2 linked regions of the Caenorhabditis elegans genome follow. The protein of the gene in region 2 interacts with the protein of the main gene of each other region in a pairwise test. Each region holds a gene or a part of one and is shown on either strand. Other genes may lie near its edges.

Region 1 (5,165 bases), on a different chromosome or scaffold from region 2:
ATGGAAAGTTGAGAGGAAGAGATATGCAGGTATGGGATAATGAGCTATCAAAACTAATAATCAAACTTATAGATGGTAGTAATCACTCACGATGAGCGACTCGTCAACAGGATCACAATCAGTTGTCGTCCAGAGTATATTTATTGTTTGGGGAAGGACGAGCACGGAATAAGTTTCCTTTCGAAACGTTATCCAGATGGAACAGTGAAAAGAGTTAATACGAAGAGACGGTTCTAGAATGGTATTGAAGAATCTCAATAGTACAAATAATATTTTACGGTCTCAAAATTGATTCGCTCACCTTTTAATTATGTTTTATGCTTTGTCAGATCATTCCCGAGTTTCCAAATGTTGTTACCTCATGTTTTATATTTTACGAGATGAACCCGATGCATCGGCCGATGTGAAATGAAAAATATTTTCTAACTGTTTCAATATTCTAATGCGTTTTTTGCTACGCTTTTGTTTCTTTCTTCTTGTTAAAAGCTAACCTTATTCATAAAAAATTTCGATTCAAGATCAGAATGTCTGACGATGAGGATGACTACATGTCTGCTGAAATTCTCCAAGGAGTTAGTGAACAACCAGTTGGAATTGCAAAATCTAGAGCTCACAAGCGAGAACTACAAATAAATTCAAGATTTGAAGAGTCCAGAGACACGTTTAAACCAAAAAGGCCAACTAGTCATGCTGAGCGAGGTTTGTAAATCGTAGTATATTATTTTTGTAGTTTACCAAATAAATTTCAGAAAAAGAACGTCGCGACGAGGCGCTCGCAAAACCGATTAGCCACGAATCGAAAGGATTTGCATTGATGGCAAAAATGGGATTCAAACCTGGTATGACATTGGGAAAGCAAAGAGAAGACGAAATTCGAATTACGGAACCAATTGGTGTCGATATCAAGGCTAATAGGAAGGGACTTGGGCACGAGGTTGAAGCAGTTCAAGAACGCAATGAACGAGTTGAGGCTGTAATGCAAAAAATGAAAGAACAAGCGGCAAAGCATGAAGAGCTGATCGATGACTATTCCAAACGGCGGAAGCTTGATGCCAACTCAAAGCAATTAGTCAAAGACATCAGATCTTGTCGAAAGGTGTGCGAAGAGTTGGATCATCGAATTGGAAAAAAAGTTCCCAGTGTTTCGTGGTTTTGGAGAAGTTATAAAGTTGCTCAAGAGGAAACTACATCTTACCATAAAAAAGTTGAAAAAGAAGATGAAGAATATAAGTACTCAAATGGTTTAGCAGCTCCAGAAGATCCGAATTATGATTTCACAATGTCAACGGAAATTTTAGAAGAAGCGTAAGTTTTTGTTTTGTAGATAAGGTTTCAATGAGCGTTATTTATCCAAACCGACAATAGTATTAAATATGCGTTTATTTCAGACTTTCCACTATCAACAATTATCTTCGAGATGGTCACTTCTATTGTATTTGGTGCGGAGCCAACTTTTCCTCGCCAGAAGATATGATCGAACATTGTCCTGGGAGCACTCGTCGAGCACATCATGGAGAAGATGAATAGATTAATTATTTTCATAAAATCTCAATTCTTGATGTATATACTATGAATCCTTTTTTATAACCAAGTTCGTGTCCTAACATCGTGTCACTTTTTTTTTTTGCTTTTTTGCTTCATTATTGTCTGCTCCTGTGTTGTTTCTCAAGGTGGGAACGTATCAAGTGACAAGTGACCACTAGTCAGTCAGCTTGAAGTGGCGATCAGTTGCCGCGCACCACCAGTAGCCCCCAACAGCGCGAAAAGCTTCTTTAGCGATAGAAAAGAACACAAACAATTGAAAAAGAAGAAAGTCCAGTGCACACACGACACTTGTGCTTCTTCAGCTACAGTCTTCAGTGGGCAGCAACATCAAGTTCCACCATCTTTATCATCTGCTCATCCATTCTCTCGATCTGTTCCGGTAAATTTGATTGCCAATCATTTTGCAAATCATGGCATGGTTAACGTCCATATTTTTCATTCTTCTAGCCGTTCAACCGGTTCTTCCACAGGATCTATATGGCACAGCAACTCAGCAGGTACAGTGAACTGTTCAAAAATTTGTAGCATTTGTTCTTATTTCTCTTTCTCAAAGTTTCTAATGCTTAGGGTCTCACCACGACCAAGATATTGTTCAAATGAAGGGCTCGCCAAGGGATTTGCACCTATAAGGAGTACTGTAGTTCAAGTTCAAGTTTTTTTTTCAATTTTTCCTCGTTCGTTCCGATTTTAATGCTTTATTTCTAACTATTTGTTTCGTATTTACATATAAATCGGTATGAGCTACAAGGAAAATATTTATGTAAAATCGAAAAAATTGTGAAATGAGTCGCACTACAGTACTATTTAAAATCACCGTATTTAAAATATTTCTGTCGTATCGAGACCTAATTTTGACAAAAAATCGCACAAAAAATCATTATGGTTTTAGGCAACATAAAGATTCCAATTGGATTCACAGACGATTTAAAAACTTAATTTTGAAAAAAATCAAAACAATCGTTTTTCTTTAGTGAATTGTATAAATATTTTCCAGCAGCCTTATCCATATGTACAACCTAGTGCTTCGTCTGGTTCTGGAGGCTACGTTCCAAATCCTCAATCAAGCATTCATACTGTTCAGCAGCCATATCCAAATATTGTAAGTTATAAAGGCTTGGGCCAGGGCCGAGGATAGGTCTATATTTGTTTACATTACCAGAATATCAAGAAACAATATTTAGGATGTAGTCGAACCAGATGTGGATAGTGTAGACATTTATGAAACTGAAGAACCTCAATTTAAAGTTGTGAACCCTGTATTTCCACTTGGTGGATCTGGAATCGTTGAACCTGGTACAATCCCACCACCAATGCCTCAAACTCAAGCTCCAGAAAAACCAGACAACAGCTATGCAATTAACTATTGTGATAAACGAGAATTCCCAGATGATGTACTAGCACAATATGGATTAGAAAGGATTGATTATTTTGTATACAACACTTCATGCTCTCATGTTTTCTTCCAGGTAATTTTTTGGAAATTATTTTTCTGAAATACAGAAATAGTTGAACAAATGTATAATTTAAAGTATTGAAACTTATCTTTATTGTATGCACGAAATAAGCTATTTTTATTTGTATGCTATCAATATTTATATTTCTACAGTCAATAGATTTCTGAAATTCCGAACTTCTTTCATATTTTCAGTGTTCAATTGGCCAGACTTTTCCTCTGGCGTGTATGTCCGAAGATCAAGCATTTGATAAGTCTACTGAAAATTGTAATCACAAGAATGCTATTAAATTCTGTCCAGAATACGATCATGTCATGCACTGTAGTAAGTCATTCAATTAAGAGTATGTATAAAATTTCATATGGCGTTGATGCACCATGAGGTGCGCTTGAAAGTTTGTAAATCTGCAATTTTCTGATTTTGATTTTATGGAAACTTAATTATTTCATCGATTTTTTCTCGAAATCTATAAAATATATTTATTTACAAAAAGCTCCAATATAAAATAGTGTTTGATATTGCAGCAATCAAAGACACCTGTACTGAAAATGAGTTTGCTTGTTGTGCAATGCCTCAATCCTGTATCCATGTGAGCAAACGTTGTGATGGTCACCCAGACTGTGCCGATGGGGAAGATGAGAACAATTGTCGTAAGTTACTCATTACAACAATTGCCAATTAAATTGAAAACCTTTAGCATCGTGTGCACGTGATGAGTTTGCATGTGTGAAGAGTGAACATTGTATTCCTGCAAACAAAAGATGTGACGGTGTGGCTGATGATTGTGAAGATGGATCGAATCTTGATGAAATTGGATGCAGTAAAAATACAAGTAATTTTTACTTTTTAAAATGTACTTTATAACAAAGTAATTAAAGCTTGTATTGGAAAGTTCGTCTGTGGAACATCGCGTGGAGGTGTTTCATGTGTGGATTTAGATATGCATTGTGATGGAAAGAAAGATTGTTTAAATGGAGAAGATGAAATGAATTGTAGTAAGTTTTTTTCTGCCTCCCTTCTTCTCACCCGGAAAACACCTCTGGAAAGTTATAAGTGGCGAAATAATGTACAGTACTTCCTCTAATAATATCGCATCCTACTATTTCACTTTAAAAGGTTATACCTCGGTTCAATTTAAAGATATTGAACATATTTTTCAATAAATAATTGACTGCAAACGATAGAAAAAAGTTTTCAAAAAATTGTCAAATGACAATTTTTAAATAGGAGAAAAGACAACTGAGATATTTAATTGTCAAAGTCTAACATTGGGAGTGCAACATTAATAGAAATACATACAATTTGGAATGTCTTTCTTAACTATAACCACACATTTTGGCACAACTTCAATGTGCGAACTTTTTCTTGTTCGAGACAAAAACATAGGAAAAAAAGTATTTTTAGCCAAGTGTCCAAATAAACACTGACGAATACTACACTTGTTATTTCAGAACAAGAAGGACGCCAAAAATATTTGCTCTGCGAGAATCAAAAACAATCAGTGACACGTCTACAATGGTGTAATGGAGAAACAGATTGTGCTGATGGATCTGATGAAAAATATTGTTACTAGATACTGCTGAACTTCTTGTCGATTTCCCTTAATTTATAAATAAATACATGAATGTCATTGCTTCTTGAAATATTCTTTCAAATTATTTGACAAAACGATTAGTTTCGCTTTGAAAATTTGACGGAAAAGAGGTCGAAAAGGGTGGGGACTGGTTATTTTTCAAGGTTTACTGTTTCTCTTTTTCTCTTCTTTTTGTTACTCTTACCCCTTTTCAACTTTGACACCGAAAGTCAACCAGTGTTAGACTCATGAGTATTTCCGTATATTCTGTTACTATTTTCACACTTTTGACATTACTTCCGTTAATATGTATATCACTGGAGTGCATCAACTCAACATCATACATGGACAGAGTTCTCGTCAAACCAATGAGCTCACATTGTCGTTTGAATAATGCACTTTGTGTGAAGACAATGCAAATTAGTCAGAATTCTGGTATGCACATATTTTTTGAAGTTGGAACTTTTAATATTGATCATTTCGTATTGACCGTCTCCGACTCAATATTTTTTGTTCCAACATTGATTAACTACCATTAACTGTCATTAAGTTCTGGTCCAAAAAATTGAATCAGAAGTTGGCAGAAGTTTGAA
Region 2 (6,597 bases):
CTCTGATCAGAGATCAAACTACATAGTGACGTAACGACACGCGCTTTATATATAGTAAATTGATTTTTATTAAAAATTTGAATAACTTGCAAGTTTATGTATAATGGTGAAACGTTTTTTTTCTGTAGATATATATTAACAATTTTTAGACTGTAGATCTCTACAATGAAATGATAATTTTTAAACTGGTTCAATCCAGTGAGCATTTACCAATCTACAAAAGCCTCGAAGCATTATGCATTCTAAAATTTACCTTTTAAAGAATTTTTATTTCGATACGAAATTTGAAAATAAATATAATCTATAGTAATTCTTCTCTCTAATTCCCTTGTTCGATGCTCCCACTAATCTTTTCGGGTATGGTGCTGCGACCTCTGTAGTAACCGAAAACTTAAACCGAACAGCCAACACAGAGACTCCTTTTCTAATGATCTTCCATCACTTTTTTAAGAGAAACTATCTCCTCCTAAAGAAATAGTATATGTTCTCGAGAGATTATAGAGAACAAATAGCAGGAAGAACAATTGGAAGTAAAAGAGAGAAGCAGAGACTTCTCAAATAATACAATATTGTTCTTTTCTAACAGTTAGTTTCTTCAACTTTTTTTCTTTTTTTCTAACTTATTTAAAACTTATTCTCCGATAAAGAGAAATAGAGTAGAGAGGGACGAGAGAAAGAAGAAGCTTCTCGCGCAATCAACCACTTCAGATCTCACTTTTTTGGGTTAAGGCTCACAAGTTTTTGTGTGTAGATAATGGTTTGCGCTCATTAGGTGAAAAGAGATTCAAGAGTACGGTTGATTGGTTCAATTGGAAGACTCATATAAAATGAAATAGAAAGTGTTCTAGACTGATCAAAGATTTTGCTTTACTTGCTTAGATGATTTATAGTAAACTTAGTATATAGAAAACCCTAAAGGTTGATAATGTTTTTGTTCAAAGTTAATATTTTAATATGAGTTTAGTTTTTTACCGGCCTGCTATTTTTAGACTTTAAGATTTCAAGTCAAAAATGGTTGAGAATCAGAGCTATCAATAAAAATTTAACTATCTCTAATGTATGCCGGAAAGTCTGAGCCTAATCCTAAGCCTCATTCCTCATCTAACTAGTTATACAAATCCCAGCTAGTATATAATTACCGCTCTAAGACTGTTATCTGTTAGAAAGGCACTGATATAGTTTGAATATTGTAAGCATTTAGGAATTTGCCTTGCTAGGCAACCACTAATGAAATTGGAAAATAAAAATTTGCCCTGCAAGGCCTTCCATCTCTATTGTTCTAGTACTATGAGCAACCTCCTAGACACCTAAACAATCAAAAAGGATCTCCAAAATCCACTTTTTCTCTACGTCTCATAATATTTCCCACAAAATTTACAAACATTTTGAGTGCTGTTCTGCCTAGTTTTTGTTCGAACAAAAAGTTCGCCTTGTTCCTCCAAGTAAAAGTTCAAACATATGTGTTCGTTGGAAGAGTAATCACGTTTTTCTTTACTCATCTCTCGCTCCTGGTACTTTATTAACTAGAACCAGTTTTCGTGCCGAGACCCTCCTCCGCTCATCATTTTTCTATTTTCTCTCTCTTTTCTGTGCATTCCGTACTGTCCTCTGTGAACTTTCTTGTCCACTGTGCTCATTTTTTGGTTTCATTTTTGTGAAATATTTTAAACAATTGGTTTAAAGAATGTTATCATTCAACAACACAACATCTGCATCTAGTTTTCAATCTGCTTCATCAAGATATTTAATGTCATCATCATCATCAATTGGACCACCACAACAACAATCTGCAAAACTATTTCCTGAGCATTTCTATCCAAGTGGACTAAGTCCAAGACAGTCGGAAGCTCTCGAACGATTGCGACCCAATACGGCGTCGCGCGAACGAAATATTCCGATTCAATTTACCGGAAAGAATCCAACAACAAATTCAGCTCTTGAGGAGTATAAACCAGTACCACACGTACAAGTTACATCTCCAAAGTCTTCAATTGTTCCGAATTTTGTTTCCGAGCAACGCGGGCTTCAGCCTCAACCAACATCTCAAGCTCCAACCAATTATCGGCAATTCGTGGCTGCACCACGATCGCCACGTGGATATGGAGACTATCCAGAAATGACGGGAAAAGCTTCTGCTGCTGGGGATTCAGAGCCTGTTCAAATCCCAATAAAAACTCAAACTCCAATTACACAAGCTCGTGCTCAAGAAACTAAAATTCCAACAATTGTGTCACCACACCCTGTTTATTATTATGACAATCAGGAGCAACCAATTCAACAAATTCGAGGTTTTTTTGTTTTTCTTTGCGTCTTAACTAATATCTCAAATTTTATTTGAGATAACTGTGTGCTGTCTTAGTCTTTGTCCCATGTCCAGACACTTATTACTGATAACCAGTTTTTTCGGAAATCAAAAAAAAGCAACAGTTATCAAAAATCAGAGAAATCACTTCAAACTTAACCGCTCCTATATTCAAATTTTCGTTTATTTTCAGAGGAGCAACCAAATGCCACCATGGAGACCAAAGTCACCGGACAAGGTCAGCCAAAGCGTGTCGGACGCTGGACATTGGCTCAACTCCGTCAAACTGACGGAATTATTCCAAGCCAGGCCGGATGGAACAAGGGAGACTCACAAAAGTTGATGACCAACTTCGGAACACCAAGAAACACTAACACTCGTGTCAAGTCTGAGAACCTTCAGGTATGGAAATTTTATGGTCAGATTTACTTGGGTATGTGGAAGAATTTATTTTAATAGAAGCAAAATCTAGGTCACCGTTTATGTTATTTGTCTTTAAGGATACAAAACTTCAAAGGTTCTTACTCACTTTATCTCTTCTGAAATGAAAAAAATCTTTAAATGTCATTTCTTGGTACCTCCACAATTTGTTTCATTCAACGTCAAGTATTTAAAGGAATTCCAAAATTTTCAAATATAAATTTTCCAGGAAATCCCAGAAGATATTGCCAACCGAACCCATGGAGAAGTTCGTCTTCAATCCGGAACCAACAAATATTGCTCCCAGAGAGGAATGACCGGATTCGGATCCGGACGTGATGTGTGCCGTGAGGGAGTCCGTGTCGCTCAGAACCCAGCTGACTTGGCTGTAAGTTACTTTTACATAGTAGCTCTGTAACCTTTCATCACTTCAGTAAAAAAAAGTGACAGAAACAAAATAAATTATTTCTCTAATTTCCCACATTTCTGTTCCAATGTGTGTGGAACGTCTTATAGATTACGGTATTTTTTTCTGTGAACTTAGAGTAACGGATGAACAAATACTTGATTTAAAGATCAGGGATATTCTTTTGTGAACGCAAATAAACAATAATTAACATATATATATTTTTTTACAGGAGCTTCCAGAAGAAAAGATCCGTATGTCCGAGGGAATTGTCCGTCTTCAAGCCGGTACCAACAAATATGATTCTCAAAAGGGAATGACCGGATTCGGAACTGGACGTCGTGAGACAACTAAGATGGTTGACTCAAAGCATCCAGAATACGATCACGAGAAACCAGATCAATCTGAAATTCCACTTCAGTCTGGAACAAACAAATTCGCTTCACAAAAGGGAATGACCGGTTTCGGAACTGCTCGTCGTGAGACCACAAAGATGGTTGATTCTAACCATCCAGATTACTCTCATGAATGTTCCATTGATCAAACCACAATTCCATCTCAGATGGGATCTAATCAATATGCTTCACAGAAGGGTATGACTGGATTCGGACAGCCACGTTGGGAAGTTCTCGACCCATCAATCTCATGGCAAAACCGTAAATCCCAGGGAATGGTCCGTCTTCAATCTGGTACCAACCGTTTTGCTTCTCAAGCTGTAAGTTTTCTTTAGATTATTTATAGAATTTAAATAAATAAAATTCATTTTCAGGGTATGATTGGCTTCGGAACATGCAGAAACACAACATTCGAGGCTGAAGGAGGAGAGCTTCCATATGAGGCAATGAAGGTGTCTGAGACCATCATTCCAAGTCAAGCTGGATGGAACAAGGGAGACTCACAGAAGGTTTGTCGATTGTTAATAACATATAACGGAACCCTTGATTATGACATTCTAGTGTATCCTGAATTTGTCCTGTATTCAGAAACTATTTGTAGATTCTCGCGAATTTCTATCACCAACGTGTTTAATTCTATAATTCCCTAAGTCCGAGGTCTTGACACGATCGGATATTTTAAAATTAAGCCTGTGCCTTTGAGAGTAGAACTTGTGTAACTTTTCCGCTAGGAATATTTTTAATAGTAGGGGTGTCAATAAGTTCCGGGTCAAAATTCATAACTTTTTTCGTGGCGAATCGATTTTTCTGAAAATGTGGGAATTTATGTGATCAAACATGGTCTTTCATTTGACGGTACTTTCAAAAAGTTTTGACCACTCCATGTATCCCAGCTCGGAGACACTTTTTTCAGGCGTATGCCTGATCTCGCTTCTTTGTAACTTTCAATTGAGACTTATGTGCGGATTTTGATTAATTAAGTATACAATGTAAAAATACAATAAAAATTTAAGAAACAATTGGTTCAAAAAAAATTTTTTTTTGGTTCGTCAAAAAATCCTCGAAAAAATTTTTGTCGAAAGTTCTTGATTTTTTGTACAGGAATGATGCAACCAAGTCTGAACAATTTTTAACACACAAAACTTTTGAAACGTGATTTTTATGATTTTTTAGTCCATTTTTTGAAATTTTTGAGAATTTCTCTAAATCTAAATGTTAAATTCAAAAGTTTTGTGTGTTAAATTGTTCAGACTTGGTTGCATCATTCCTGTACAAAAAATCAAGAACTTTCGACAAAAATTTTTTCGAGGATTTTTTGACAAACCAAAAAAAATTTTTTTTTGAACCAATTTTTTCTTAAATTTTTATTGTATTTTTACATTGTATACTTAATTAATCAAAATCCGCACATAAGTCTCAATTGAAAGTTACAAAGAAGCGAGATCAGGCATACGCCTGAAAAAAGTGTCTCCGAGCTGGGATACATGGAGTGGTCAAAACTTTTTGAAAGTACCGTCAAATGAAAGACCATGTTTGATCACATAAATTCCCACATTTTCAGAAAAATCGATTCGCCACGAAAAAAGTTATGAATTTTGACCCGGAACTTATTGACACCCCTAATAGAAACCTAAAATGGTAGAAAAACCGTTACTGTATTATTCAAAGGCGCATACCTTTTTGCAAACATTTTTGCGCGGCCTCGATTTTCAAAATATTTCGATCGTGGCGAGAGCAGGTACCGTATTATCAAATTATGTGCAAGTTGATTTTAAAAAAACATATAAATACATTCTAAAAAGAAGAAAAATGACCAAACTTTTAAGTTTAAAACTACGATTTCCTTTAAAAAAAAACAAATTATTGAAACAAATTCTAATTTTTCATAATTTTTCAGAAGATGACATCATTCGGAGCACCACGTGACGTTAAGGGCAAGCACTTGAAGAGAATCTGGGAGCTTGAATACCCAGAAGAGGCTGAAATCTCTTTGGATCGTCTCTAAATCATTTTTCTCCGTGTTTTTTTTTCTTTCGTAAATTACATGATACCTGTGCATAATTTGCTTCAACTTCTTCTCCAAATGTTTCTTCTTATTCTTCAAAAAAAACTACTTTTTTGTTTGTTCTCCATCCCATTTCCCTGCTTTCCTTCCTATTCTTTTCACACCCAAACAAGTTCATCATATAAATTTGAAATTTTTCGATTGTTTTCTTTTTTGCGTAAGTTGCAGCCAAAAATGAGCAATTTTAGCGAAGAATTATTCTTGTTATTTTAAACCACTTGCATTTAGTTTTCTAAATGAAATTCACAGAGATGCGACAAGCCATAGATTTACTTAAAAATATATGTTTATTCTATGAAAACCCGTACGGAACTTTCAGGCAATATACTAAAAATTTAACAAAAAATTAAAAAATTAGTTCGTGTTCAGGGCGTTCAGTTTTTCCATCATATTGTCATTGAGAGCCTTCCAGAATAGACCTTCTTCGCATTCGATGTCTGTTGTGAAGAATACCTGCAAATATTTTAATGAATACATTATTTGATTTCTCGATTTTTAAGCCAAAGGTTATTTTTTACAAAAAAAGGTTTTTAAAAATGTGTGGAGTTTTGTTCTTTTCATATAATTTATTTTTCATTACCGCGGAAGTAGTCACACCCATTTAAGCAAAAGTGGCCTTATTTTAATTTTCGAAAAAAATTATTTTCAGCGAAAATTTTGTTACGAAAATTATTTTCTGCCTAAAAATTATAATTGCGACATGATCATCAATTATAACTTTTTGTTCATAATTTCCAAGCTAATATTACACAATATTTGAGAAAATACTTGAAATACGGAATTTTTTAGAATAAATTCAATCTCTCAAAAACAAAATGTTGTTTTTTTTTGGTTTTTCTGGTTGCATCGGTTTCAGATAAAAATGAGAATTTCCTCGAGTTTTTTATTTCGAAATGAACGTTTTTTCAAAAATACCTGTGTGAATCTCGATGTTTTTGTTAACCGAAGAGTAGTTGATTTAATGAATTCTCGTTGCGTATTCTCTCCATCGACGAGCATTGTGAAGTTT

Evidence for each region.
Region 1: the proteins of unc-87 (region 2) and lrx-1 interact in a two-hybrid assay, tested with the Caenorhabditis elegans proteins (one large-scale study listed by BioGRID).

The regions. Positions count from the first base shown.
Region 1 is NC_003283.11:12,250,823-12,255,987, forward strand, and holds lrx-1 (LRP X(cross)-hybridizing), read left to right. Parts: upstream 1-1,862; 5' UTR 1,863-1,955; coding exon 1,956-2,042; intron 2,043-2,539; coding exon 2,540-2,644; intron 2,645-2,726; coding exon 2,727-3,011; intron 3,012-3,193; coding exon 3,194-3,323; intron 3,324-3,523; coding exon 3,524-3,649; intron 3,650-3,696; coding exon 3,697-3,831; intron 3,832-3,877; coding exon 3,878-3,994; intron 3,995-4,450; coding exon 4,451-4,572; 3' UTR 4,573-4,628; downstream 4,629-5,165. Other genes in the region: rad-50 (Zinc-hook domain-containing protein), read left to right, coding at 1-29, 73-237; T04H1.5 (G patch domain-containing protein 11), read left to right, coding at 525-699, 750-1,305, 1,389-1,527; T04H1.12 (Activin_recp domain-containing protein), read left to right, coding at 4,821-5,007.
Region 2 is NC_003279.8:6,760,698-6,767,294, reverse strand, and holds unc-87 (Protein unc-87), read left to right. Parts: upstream 1-1,604; 5' UTR 1,605-1,684; coding exon 1,685-2,288; intron 2,289-2,495; coding exon 2,496-2,704; intron 2,705-2,951; coding exon 2,952-3,110; intron 3,111-3,360; coding exon 3,361-3,843; intron 3,844-3,897; coding exon 3,898-4,032; intron 4,033-5,420; coding exon 5,421-5,528; 3' UTR 5,529-5,942; coding exon of another isoform or gene 5,943-6,041; 3' UTR 6,042-6,074; downstream 6,075-6,597. Other genes in the region: F08B6.1 (BPH_3 domain-containing protein), read right to left, coding at 5,943-6,041, 6,504-6,597. UniProt on the Caenorhabditis elegans protein: Thin filament-associated protein that is implicated in actin bundling and actin filament dynamics. Exhibits F-actin cross-linking activity. Required for the maintenance of sarcomeric actin organization in striated muscles.